3 linked regions of the Macaca fascicularis genome follow. The protein of the gene in region 1 interacts with the protein of each later gene in a biochemical or structural test. Links are inferred from orthologs where the notes say so. Each region holds a gene or a part of one and is shown on either strand. Other genes may lie near its edges.

The links.
Region 2: the proteins of SPI1 (region 1) and IRF1 form a complex in vitro, tested with the Homo sapiens proteins (2 studies listed by BioGRID). The link is inferred for Macaca fascicularis from reciprocal best matches to the Homo sapiens genes SPI1 and IRF1.
Region 3: the proteins of SPI1 (region 1) and IRF4 are reported together in a solved structure, tested with the Homo sapiens proteins (2 studies listed by BioGRID, with this or other methods). The link is inferred for Macaca fascicularis from reciprocal best matches to the Homo sapiens genes SPI1 and IRF4.

Annotation. Positions count from the first base shown.
Region 1 is NC_088388.1:18,487,539-18,491,184, reverse strand, and holds part of SPI1 (transcription factor PU.1), read right to left. Parts: intron 3,534-3,646; coding exon 3,346-3,533; intron 2,520-3,345; coding exon 2,357-2,519; intron 1-2,356. UniProt on the Homo sapiens protein: Pioneer transcription factor, which controls hematopoietic cell fate by decompacting stem cell heterochromatin and allowing other transcription factors to enter otherwise inaccessible genomic sites.
Region 2 is NC_088380.1:139,015,204-139,019,371, forward strand, and holds the start of IRF1 (interferon regulatory factor 1), read right to left. Parts: upstream 2,865-4,168; 5' UTR 2,614-2,864; intron 1,580-2,613; 5' UTR 1,575-1,579; coding exon 1,488-1,574; intron 124-1,487; coding exon 24-123; intron 1-23. UniProt on the Homo sapiens protein: Transcriptional regulator which displays a remarkable functional diversity in the regulation of cellular responses.
Region 3 is NC_088378.1:172,678,540-172,681,973, forward strand, and holds the end of IRF4 (interferon regulatory factor 4), read right to left. Parts: intron 1,770-3,434; coding exon 1,626-1,769; 3' UTR 604-1,625; downstream 1-603. UniProt on the Homo sapiens protein: Transcriptional activator. Binds to the interferon-stimulated response element (ISRE) of the MHC class I promoter. Binds the immunoglobulin lambda light chain enhancer, together with PU.1.

The sequences.
Region 1 (3,646 bases):
GCACGGTCACACCCACACAATGCATCTTCTCACACTTATACACATGCCCAGTCACACCCACTCACACATACACCTCACACCAGGTCTCACACACTCATGTGCTCACACGCCTGCTCATACACCTCACACCAGGTCTCATAATCACACCTGTTTATATATGCTTGCACAAACACACACCTGCTTACACATCTCACATTGCTCACCCTCACACCTCACATTGCTAACCCTCACACACACAAGCCTCTGCTCAGCACACGCATGCTTACATACCTCACACCATTCACACACACACCTACCCACTCACACATGGTCACACCTGCCCACACCTGCTCACACACATATTTGCACACACAGACCTCACACACATCACATTACTCACCCACACACATGCCCCTGCTCACACACTTATGCTCACACACACCTCACACCATTCACTCACACACACCCACTCACACTTGCTCACATGCTCACCTGTTCATACAACTCACACTCATACCTCACACTACGTCTCTCACACACACATGCTCACACGCTCATGCTCACAGACATGCTCACACCTCATACATGCTCACACCTCACACACACCCACTCATGCTTACACGTCACACATTCACACCCACTCACATGCTCACACCTCACACATAATCACACCTCACACACATGGTCACATCTCTCAATCACACCCACTCACACACCAGCCCACACATACCCACACACACATGCTCACACCTTATATGCCCACACCTCACACATTCCTGCTCACAGGCTTGCTCACACCTCACAGTTGCTCACACATGCACTCACAATGCTCACACCAGCTCATTCACACCTCATTGACACCTGCTCACTCATATTTCACACCACTTACTTGCACCTCACTCACACCTGCTCACGCATGCACACACATTCTACTCATACCCACTTGCATGCTTACACACCTGTTCACACACAACCAGACACCCACTTGCACACTCATGCTCACACACATTCTGCTCTCACACCCACTCAGCAGCTCACACACCTGCTCACAAGCTCACATGTCACATCTGCTCACACCCATTCTCTTGTTTTTGAGACTGAGTTTTGCTCTTATTGCCTAGGCTGGAGTGCAATGGCATGATTTTGGCTCACTGCAACCTCCGCCTCCCGGGTTCAAGCAATTCTCCTGTCTCAGCCTCCCAAGTAGCTGGGATTACAGGCATTCACCACCACGCCCAGCTAATGTTCGGTTTTTTTAGTAGAGACAGGGTTTCGCCATGTTGGCCAGGCTGGTCTCAAACACCTGACTTCAGGTGATCCGCCTGCCTCAGCCTCCCAAAGTGCTGGGATTACAGGCATGAGCCACCATGCCCAGCCCACTCACACCCATTCTCACACACTCATTCATATATCTTCTGTCTCACACACACACGTTCGCACACCTACTCACATGCACACCCACTCACACACCCAGGTGCTCAAGCATGCCCTCACCCCCCACATACACCTGCTCACGCACAAGAACACACACATGCTCACACATGCTAAAACACATATCCACTCACGTACATGCACAAACCTGCTCACATATACACATACATACTCACACACCCCAGCTCACACCTTCCTGCTCACACACACCTGCTTACATACACCCTCAAACATGTTCACATCCACTCACACATCCACTGACACCTACACACTCATGCCCATTCACACACTCACTTATATCACACACATCCCTGCTTATATACACATTCACACACACACTTGCTCACACACCTGTCATACCCCCACTCACACATATCACTCACGCCTGCTCACACCCACTCACATATACCATGCTCACATCCCTGCTCACACACGCATACCCACACACTGCTGACACCCACTGACATGATCATACATGCACACCTCACACACGTGCACACAACCACTCACACACACTGAAATACATTCATATGCTGATACACACAAACATGGCCACACCCACTCTCATCCACACCAGCTCTCACATTCACCTTCTCACACACCCACTCAGCCACTTGCACACATGCACCTGCCTACATCTGTTCACACACACTCACTCTGCACACTTGCTCACACACACCCAGATCTACACACACTCATGGCACAGAGACATACACACCTGGCACACTTCATGGAGATGCCTGTATGCACTCACAGCAGATACACACACACACACACACACATAGAGACGGCCACAGACAGCCCCACAAAACACATACATTGGCAAACATGCACACACACACACGCAACTTGGCGGCATGGCTGCTGGGTCAGTTGGCCTGGCTGGGTGGGGGAGGGCACAGACACAGCCAGGGTTGGGGCCAGGGTGGAGGGCCAGATGCCCCACCTGTCTCCCCAGGCAGGAGCCCAGGCCCAGGCTCCAGGCCGTCCGCCTCGCCGTCAGACACCTCCAGTGGGGGGCTCTGCCGCTCGCCCTCCTCCTCATCTGAGCTGGGCTGGGCTGGGGACAGGGGTGGGTACTGGAGGCACATCCGGGGCAGGTAGGAGACCTGGACGGTGGGGGAAGGAGATCAGAGTCAGGAAGGGCCAGCTTACAGCTCAGAGGGGCTGGGAGGGAGGTTAGCTGGGGAGAGAAGGAGTGCAGAAGGCAGGGGACAATGGCAGGCACAGGAGACTGGAGGAAGGCCAGGGAAAAGTGGGGCCAGTTGAGGCGCTGCACATAGGGTGCAGGCTGTGGGGCGAGGGGTGCTGACATCCAGCCCACCCAGCCCTCCCAGCTGGGCCTCCTGGTTTAGGGCTGTGGGCACCGGGGAAGCGGTGGCTTGCTCCCCTCCCTGCTGAGGTGTTATGTGGGCCCACAGTGGGCTGGTGCTGGGGGCTGGTGCATTGGGTCTGGAAGGGGGTTTGATAGGTGGGGTGATGAGTGGTGGGGGGACCCTGGAGGCCAGTAGGGGTGGTAGAGGTCAGCAGAGGTCACTGATTCAGATTAAGGTCAGTAGGGAGGGTCACTGGGGAGAGGCAGGGTCAGTAGACATGTTCAGTGACTTGGTGTGGGATCCATGAGGGCAAGTGAATGGGGGTGGAAGACAGTGAGGCCCACGAGGGCTCACAACAAGGCGTTGGGGTGGGGAGGCTCGGTGAGGTGCAAGAATTATCTGGGGTCTGTCCATACTCGGGGTGAGATGAGATAAGGGGTGTGGGGTCACGAGGTCACTCGGGGGGTCAGGCAGCAGCCGTTAGGGCTCCAGCCGCCGTTGGCGCTGTGGGGCAGGAAGCCGAGTTGGGTAAGAGCCTGTGTCAGCTTCCTGTGAAGCTCCCGGGCCCCACCACAGGCCTGGCAGTCTCCTGGGGGACGGGGCAGGCGGTGGCACGCACCTGGTGGCCAAGACTGGGATGGGGTGGCACCATGGGAGTGTCGAGGACATGCATCTGCTCCAGCTCCATGTGGCGGTAGAGCTGCTGCAGCTGCGGGGGCTGCACACTCTGGAGCTCCGTGAAGTTGTTCTCGGCGAAGCTCTCGAACTCGCTGTGCACGTGGTGGGGGTGGAAGTCCCAGTAATGGTCTGTGGGGGACAGCCAGGCAGTGTGGGGTGAGCTCAGGGTTGGGCAGGGCAGGAAAAGGTTGTAATAACATTAAATAATACTGCCAGGCCATATGGGGCCTAACCATCTCATT
Region 2 (4,168 bases), on another chromosome or scaffold:
AGGCCTGAGTCCCAGGCACACACCTGTGTGAATGGCCCAGCTCCGGAACAAACAGGCATCCTTGTTGATGTCCCAGCCATGCTTGGCAGCATGCTTCCATGGGATCTGGAAGATCATCTCCTCCTGAACAACACACACATATACACGAGGCTGTGTCAGCTCAGAGGCCACAGACTTTGGGGCTGAGTCTGAGACCCAGGCTTGCCCAGCCAGACAGGTCTGAGAAAAGGCTGACTTCCCCTTTTCCCCCTGCCATCTGGCTTGGACTGACCCATCTTTAGGCTGGCTTAAACAGACCACTCGGGATCTCTCAGGAGGGACTCCTAGTTCGGATGAGCTGCAGCACTATTAGCTCACAAAGACCTCCCTCTGCCTGTTACACATGTGCTAGGACCCACACAGGGCACCCTCCCCCAAAGCCCTGATTTTGAAGCTCTGGGATGTTTCTCTCTGGCTTGTAAACACCAACATGGAAGTAAGAACTTCTTCCATTAGAAAGGACTCCTCAGGACACCTGGGACCATGGGCTTCTACACAAGAGGTCCTGGTCATACGACTGAGGGAGCTAGACTTGGATGGTGAACACTGTGTAACCCTGGCATTGTCACTGTATCTCTTTTCCCCTCAGTTTTCTCTTCTCTGAAATGAGAAAACATATCCAACAAAATTTTGAGAATTAAAAACCAGAGAATGTGTAGGGACACAGTGACAAATATGAAGTCTAAGGTCTTACTGTTATTATCACTGATGGTTAACAGTAAAGATTTCTGAGTCAGACCATTCAAGTTCAAATCTTGGCTTCATCACTTTTTGTGTGATCTTACAATCTTCCTCTCAGTGCCTCTGTTTACTTATCTGAAAATGATGACATGAACAGGACCTACCCCACAGGACTACTGCGAGGATTAAATGACACAATGTAAATAACATACGTAGCAGGTGCCAGGCACACAGAGAGTGTTCAGTAAGCATTAGCTATTATTATGAATACTATCATTGCTACTAAGCCTATAGTGTCTATGTTGCCCCAAGTGCACCAGCTATAGGCTTCTTGGGCCACAGTGACTGGTGCAAGATTGATTCGTTTGTCCTCTGCTAAGCCAGCCACCTTTCTGCCCAGCAGCATCCACTTCTCAAGTCTTCTATTTGTTTGATTAGAGCCCTGCAAGGTGCTGTGTATGTTTGTAAGGGTCTCCCTCAGAGGAGACCAGAACTCCAGCTCTGCAGATGCTGGGAAAGTCTTGCTGCTGGAAACTGGAAGTGCCTTCAGGTGGGTGCCCTACCTCAAGAAGGGAAGAAAGCAGGAGTCGTGCAAGTGAGGCCCAGGCTGGGCCTTGCACACTCCCTCCCTGCATGCAGGACCCATTGGGAGAAACATCTGCCTGTCCTGTTATCACTTCCCTTTTTGAGCTGCATCTGAAGCTTTGGTCCCTCCAGAAGTACATGGGTTAAAACAGTGGCAGGAAAACCCAAAGAGTTACACTCACTTTATTAATCCAGATGAGCCCCGGGATTTGGTTGGAATTAATCTGCATCTCTAGCCAGGGTCTCATGCGCATCCGAGTGATGGGCATGTTGGCTGTAAAGAGAAGACAGAGGCTCCAGTCTGGAATCTGTTGAACAGTACCTGGGCACTGACCTGCCCCACCCGAGTTCACTTAGTTACCCTCCCCTCAGCCAGCTACTAGGTACTACACTCAGTGGGGAGGGGAGCTGCCCTGGAATAAAACTGCTCTCCAAGTTTTTTCAGCATCTTAGGCAAAAATGCTTCTGCCCCTTCCTCCATCCCAGCCAGTCTCTGGATGAGACAGGCATGCAAGTGATGGCTTTAGGATTCATGTGCAGGAAAAGAGAGAAAATGCACAGATATCCTAATTTCAGAACTTTTCGCTCAAAATTCAAATCCTTTGGGAAGGGAGGGACTTCTTTTGCTTGATGCCAAGAAGAAATTCCCTTGACTTGAGTTGTCACCACTAGCTAGTAAAGGGCTAGCCATCACCCTGAACAGCCCCCCTGAATCCATTCTACGCCCTCCTGACAGTCACAGAGCCCACTACGCTAAGACTAGGACGCTAACCCTTCCGGCCCGGTTTCCCCTCCTCTGGAGAAGCGGCCCAAGGAACACCTGTGGCGCCTCTTCCCGCAGTCTCCGTAGGTCACGATTCCCTCCAGCCACCTGGGCAGTAAGCCAGCCCTTGTCACCAGCACAGGGAGCCCAAAACCTGGGGCCTGGGCGCGAAGCTGGGACCGCCGAAAGCCGGGAGCACTGGGCGCCCACGCGTGGGCGGACACTCGGTCCCCGGCACGGCGTGTGGATGCGCGGGACGAACGTAGCGGGCCACCTACAGGCCCCCAGCGGCTGCGCGCACGCATATCTGCGAAAGCTGCCCGGCGCCGGCAGCCTCGTCCGGGTGGGCGGTCCACGCCGCGGCCCGCCCTCCCCGCGCCGCGGCTCGCAGCTCCTCCGGCGCCCCCCGGAGCCCGCGCGGGGGCCCGGGCAACGCCGCGCTCCCGCGAGTCTCCAACCTGGGGTTTTCGAACCCCCACTTCCTGGTGCCCCGCGCGCCTTTTATTCGACGCCGCCGGTCCCCCGCGCCGCAAAAGCGGACTCACCTTTGCTGCAGGAGCGATTCGGCGGCGGCGCGCGAAGGTCCCGGCGGCGGCGCGCGAAGGTCCCGGCGACGCAGGGGCTGCCGTGAGGGGGCGCGGAGCGCGACTCCGGGTGGAAGGGGGAAGAAGGCAGAGGCTGTCTGGGTCTCAAGGCCGCTGGGCACGGCTGGCGTGGGCTGGGCAAGGCTCCGGGTGGCCTCGGTTCGGCGGGGCTCGGGCGCACGTCCTGCCTCGACGAAGGAGTGGCGAGCTCTGCCAGGGCAGCGGCGCCACCGAGCAATCCAAACACTTAGCGGGATTCCCCAGCCCTGGCCGGCCCCGCCTCCGGACAGCCGCGCGGGCGCCCATTGGCCGACTGCGTGCCGTCATTTCGGGGAAATCAGGCTGTTGTAGAGCTAGCGGCGAAGGGGAAGTACAGGGCGGCTGCTCCGCCCCACCCTCTCCGGCCGGGCGCCACCGCCCCGGGGCCACCACGGGCCCGCCCCGCGCGCTCCCCATCCACCCCTGCTCCGGCTCGCCCGGAGGAGGGCTGCCCTGGACAGCCCGGCACCCCCGGCCCCAGCCTCTCCTCTCACTCCGCCTTCTCCCAGCCGGCTGGCTCCTGGGGCCATCTTTTCACCCTCCTGGCGGGTTGGGGGCGGGGGTCTATCTCCTGAACGCAGGTGAGGGGATCGCCCGGGCACTTGCCGCCCTCTCCAGGGGGAACACCGGCCGAATCTCCCGACTGGCAACCTGGCTCCTCAAGCTTGCCAGTGGGGTATCAAGAAGGGAGAGTTTCAGTCCTAGCACTACCCCTGTTTTTAGGGGTGACCCCCTTTCTCCAGGTCACTCACCTGCCCTGGGGAAGTGAAGGAAGCAGAAAGCCTACCCTGCACCGTGTGCTGTCTGGGGCTGCTGAACCAGGGGAAATCTCAACTTGGCCGCTGCTGGCACAGCCCCCAAGGGACTCAGGACCTCCGTTTTTCAACCATAAAATAACAGTAGCCCTACCTTGATGGTTTGCTGTGATTGTAAAGCACTATGCTCCACTCGGGCAACAGACGCTGAGTAGTTTTCAAGGTCGCCGTTCCAGGGTCTAATAGTGACCAGGATGACACCCCACCCCTTTTTGGTCTGCCTCCCTGGGACTCCCCCTGGCTGGCCTTAGGGAACAGAGGAGGAGAAGGGGTTCAGAGAAGCCCAGATGGCTGAGTGAGGGTGGGGGTGGGGTAGTTCTGATCCCTCCTAATACACAGGCCGCCTCCAGAGCCTCCCTGTGGCCCGCGTATGGGAGTTCCTCAATGGAAGTATTGCTGTCATCTCTGAGTCCCCAGGGCTTGGCCCAGAGAGGTTCTGGGCAGCATGGAGGAATTAGCTCAGGGCTGATCAACGCCATGGACCTAGCGAAAGGGTTGGGGAACCCAGGTCCTATGTTCCTTGGTAAGGGCCCCTACTTAACTCGCGCTCACAACTAGTCCCCGCCCCACTTATAGTCCTAGAGACTTGACTGGGTGTTCATTTTCCATCCAAAACTCTGGCCCAGGAGGCTTCTTCCTTCATCTCTCTAAAGCTCCTGACT
Region 3 (3,434 bases), on another chromosome or scaffold:
TCTCGGCCTCCCAAAGTGCTGGGATTACAGGCTTGAGCCACCGCGCCTGGCCAGCAGGCACCTATTATGCGCTTGTTGAATCCATTTAAAATATGGATTAGAAAAGCAGGACCGCACTTCTGAGAGCTACACAGTCTGCGGACCCTGAGAGTGATAGGAAATATCCTGCAGCACGAGAAACACCCTGGGGGAGACGCCCCCATCTACACCCCTGTACTTTCTCGAAACCACAAAAATGTTTTCCTTTTTTCAGGTTGGCTTAAGCAAGTGGAGGTCTTTGGGATTCTATAAATAGATGCATTTGTAAAAAGCCAAGTAATTTTAAGACCCTGTCAAACTATAATTGGCCTGAGGAAGCACAGAACAGATGAAAGAAGCAGAAACAGCCCACTGGGTGTGCAGCTCCGCAGCCAGCTCCATCCTGCTTCCAGCGGCCGCTCCTGGCAGTGCTCGCCAGCCTGCGCGTCCCGGCTCCTCCTCCTTTAGTGTCACCGTGGCTGATCAGTGCACAGTCAAACAGACAGACGAGAGTGGCACAGAGGAGGGGAACAGACAGCTTAGTACTTGGACAGAAGGGCAACAGTTCAGGTAGTAAGATAAATGCTCCTTAACTTCTTCTTTATGAGAAGAATTTAACATTTCTAGAGAATGAGGGACAAAAAGACATAGAAACAAGAAAACTTAACCGTCACTTAGACATTACTCGATGGTAGGACAGACAAAAATGTCCCATCCAAGAGGAACTATCCTGTTTTTTGGCACAAGAAATTAGTAAGTTTACTAACTGACTTCCAGGGAAGGCCAAGGAGAGAAGCCCGTGGGAAGGAAGGCGGGGCAGAGGGGCCCACACCAGGAAACCACTGGCAGGTGGGGAAGGGGCCTCCCCCAGGCTACAGGCACAACTTCAGTCAAAGATTCCATTTCCTTCACTCCGCAAGTGTCCTCCACAAGAACTGCAGCTCCTACATACATTAATACATTTCTTCTATGTGTGAGGCTTCTTCCGTTTACACCTTACTTCCCTGAGAAATGGTACAGACTCGCCTGCAGTCATCGCTCCAGTCAGTGTCAACACTGAAAGGCAAGTGTTCTCAGTCCTCCAGCAAGACCTAGTCTACACCAAATTAAAGAACACATTTCAGCAAATGTAAACACATCACGGGGTCAGTTTTCACAGTGATCATCAATGATGGCAGTCTACAGAGCGCAAGAAGTGCAAAGCCACCTTCCTTTCGGAATAAGCTCATCTGCCAATCAGATGTCACTGATTTTCCACAGTTGTCTGGCGGCAATTCTCCTCAGCTACTGCACTGAAATCTTCACTTCTGAGTTCCTCAAAACAGCAAGAGGGCAGTCAACTGGATGCTTTCACTAAAGTCAAATATTTACAATGAAAATCGTCTGTGTTGGGTGGGTGCAGTGGCTCACACCTTAATCCCAGCTACCAGGGAGGCTGAGGCAGGAGAATCTCTTGAACCTGGGAGGCGGAGGTCGCAGTGAGCTGAGATCGTGTCACTGCACTCCGGCCTGGGAGACAGTGCAAGACCCTGTATCAAAAAAATAAAATAAAAAATAAAAATAGAAAAAAAAAAAAGGAAAAAGAAAACCACTCATCTTGACATTTTTCATTCTTGAATGGAGGAATGGCGGATAGATCTGTGGTAATCTTCTGGATTGCTGATGTGTTCCGGTAAATCGTAGCCCCTCAGGAAATGTCCACTGTTTTGTTGAGCAAAATAATATAATTGTCTGGCGAGCAGAGGTTCTACCTTTAATAAGAGATTTTTAAAAAGACATTACTGAGATATCCCGCAACTGGCTCACTATTAAACAGCACTCAGATTCTAAGCAGACAGTAACGTAAAGCCCAAAGTTACGTCCTAGAACACGTCAAAACATTTCATATATGGAGCCATCTAAAGAAGCAATTTTTTTGTTAGTCCTTCCATAGATCAACATGTAAAAAAACAGTCAAAGCTACTTAATTCTGGGTTAAAGATGTTACTTTTAAATCAGCTGCCACTTAAAATGTACATTTAACTAAAACTGAATCAAATCAAGTAAAGTGATTAAATGAAAAGGAAGTCTGAGGTAATCTGCAGGGTAATTTAGGCCAATGATTTTGTTTTTCCACAACTGCAGTTTGAAAGAAACAAGGGCTCATCCTGAATGATTTGATTTCTAGGTAATCGGTATCGTTCTAAACCAGAGGTAAAAGAAATAAAAAGTAAAGTTAAACAACAACAAAACTACTCTTGTGGAAAAAGAGAAGTTAACTGGCCTCAAATTTATCCCGTCTGGTTATTAGCATGAATCACGCTCACCAAAAAACAAAAACACCTTAACGTTCAGCTTTTCCTGAATTTACAGCATCTAAGGCAAGCTGAATGCTCTCCATCAATCACGATATTAAAGTCTATATTTTATATATAGCGACTTAAGCAAAACTCCTGAGTACCTGAAATGAATTAAATTAATAACTTTTAAAAGTGGAACTCATAGGTGTACATGTGTGTTTATTCATTTTACGGATCACACAGCCTCGTCTTCAGGATGACGGGATCATCTGGGGATCCATCTTTCCCTGACTTAGAGGACGGCAACTTCATCCAAGTCACCCTTAAAATTGGATTGATGTATAGCTGAGCTGATCATCAATTTCTTTTGTTTTCTTTTTTTTTTTTTTTTCTTGAGACAGAGCCTCACTCTGTCGCCCAGGCTGGAGTGCAGTGGTGCGATCTCGGCTCACTGCAACCTCTGACTCCTGGGTTCAAGTGATTCTCTTGCTTCAGCCTCCTGAGTAGCTGGGATTACAGGTGCGCACCACCACACCTGGCTAATTTTTGTATTTTTAGTAGAGGGGGGGTTTCACCATGTTGGTCAGGCTGGTCTCAAATTCCTGACCGCGTGATCCGCCCACGTGGGCCTCCCAAAGTGCTGGGATTACAGGCGTGAGCCACCGCACCTGGCCGATCATCAACTTCTTAAATGCTGCTTATCTATGCCAAGTTTATTTAGTCATTTAGCAATTCCTGCTGTTAACAACATATCAGTTATGATTTCAACAATCATAGCAATTGTTAAGTCAATCACTGGAGAGAACTCATGAGAAATCCTCAGTCTATGGGATTACACATTGGTTGGTGGGTTGGTCTTTGTTTTTAAAATCAAGAAGGGGGGTTGTATGTTCAAGATTAAACCATGTTTCATTTCAGTTCTCAATGAGAAACAGCATCAGAGCTACAATATGATGGGAATTTTGATGTTAGGGGTGTAAGTTTTACCTGGTATTGCTCACCATGCAAGCCCATTAATGATGCTTGCAAGTACATAGCAATGTGAAGTTTTCAAATTCAAAAGTCTTAAGGGTTCAAGATTCTGTTTTCCGTGGCAAATTAATGCTTCATGTCATCTATAGAAACCTTTTCTCATAA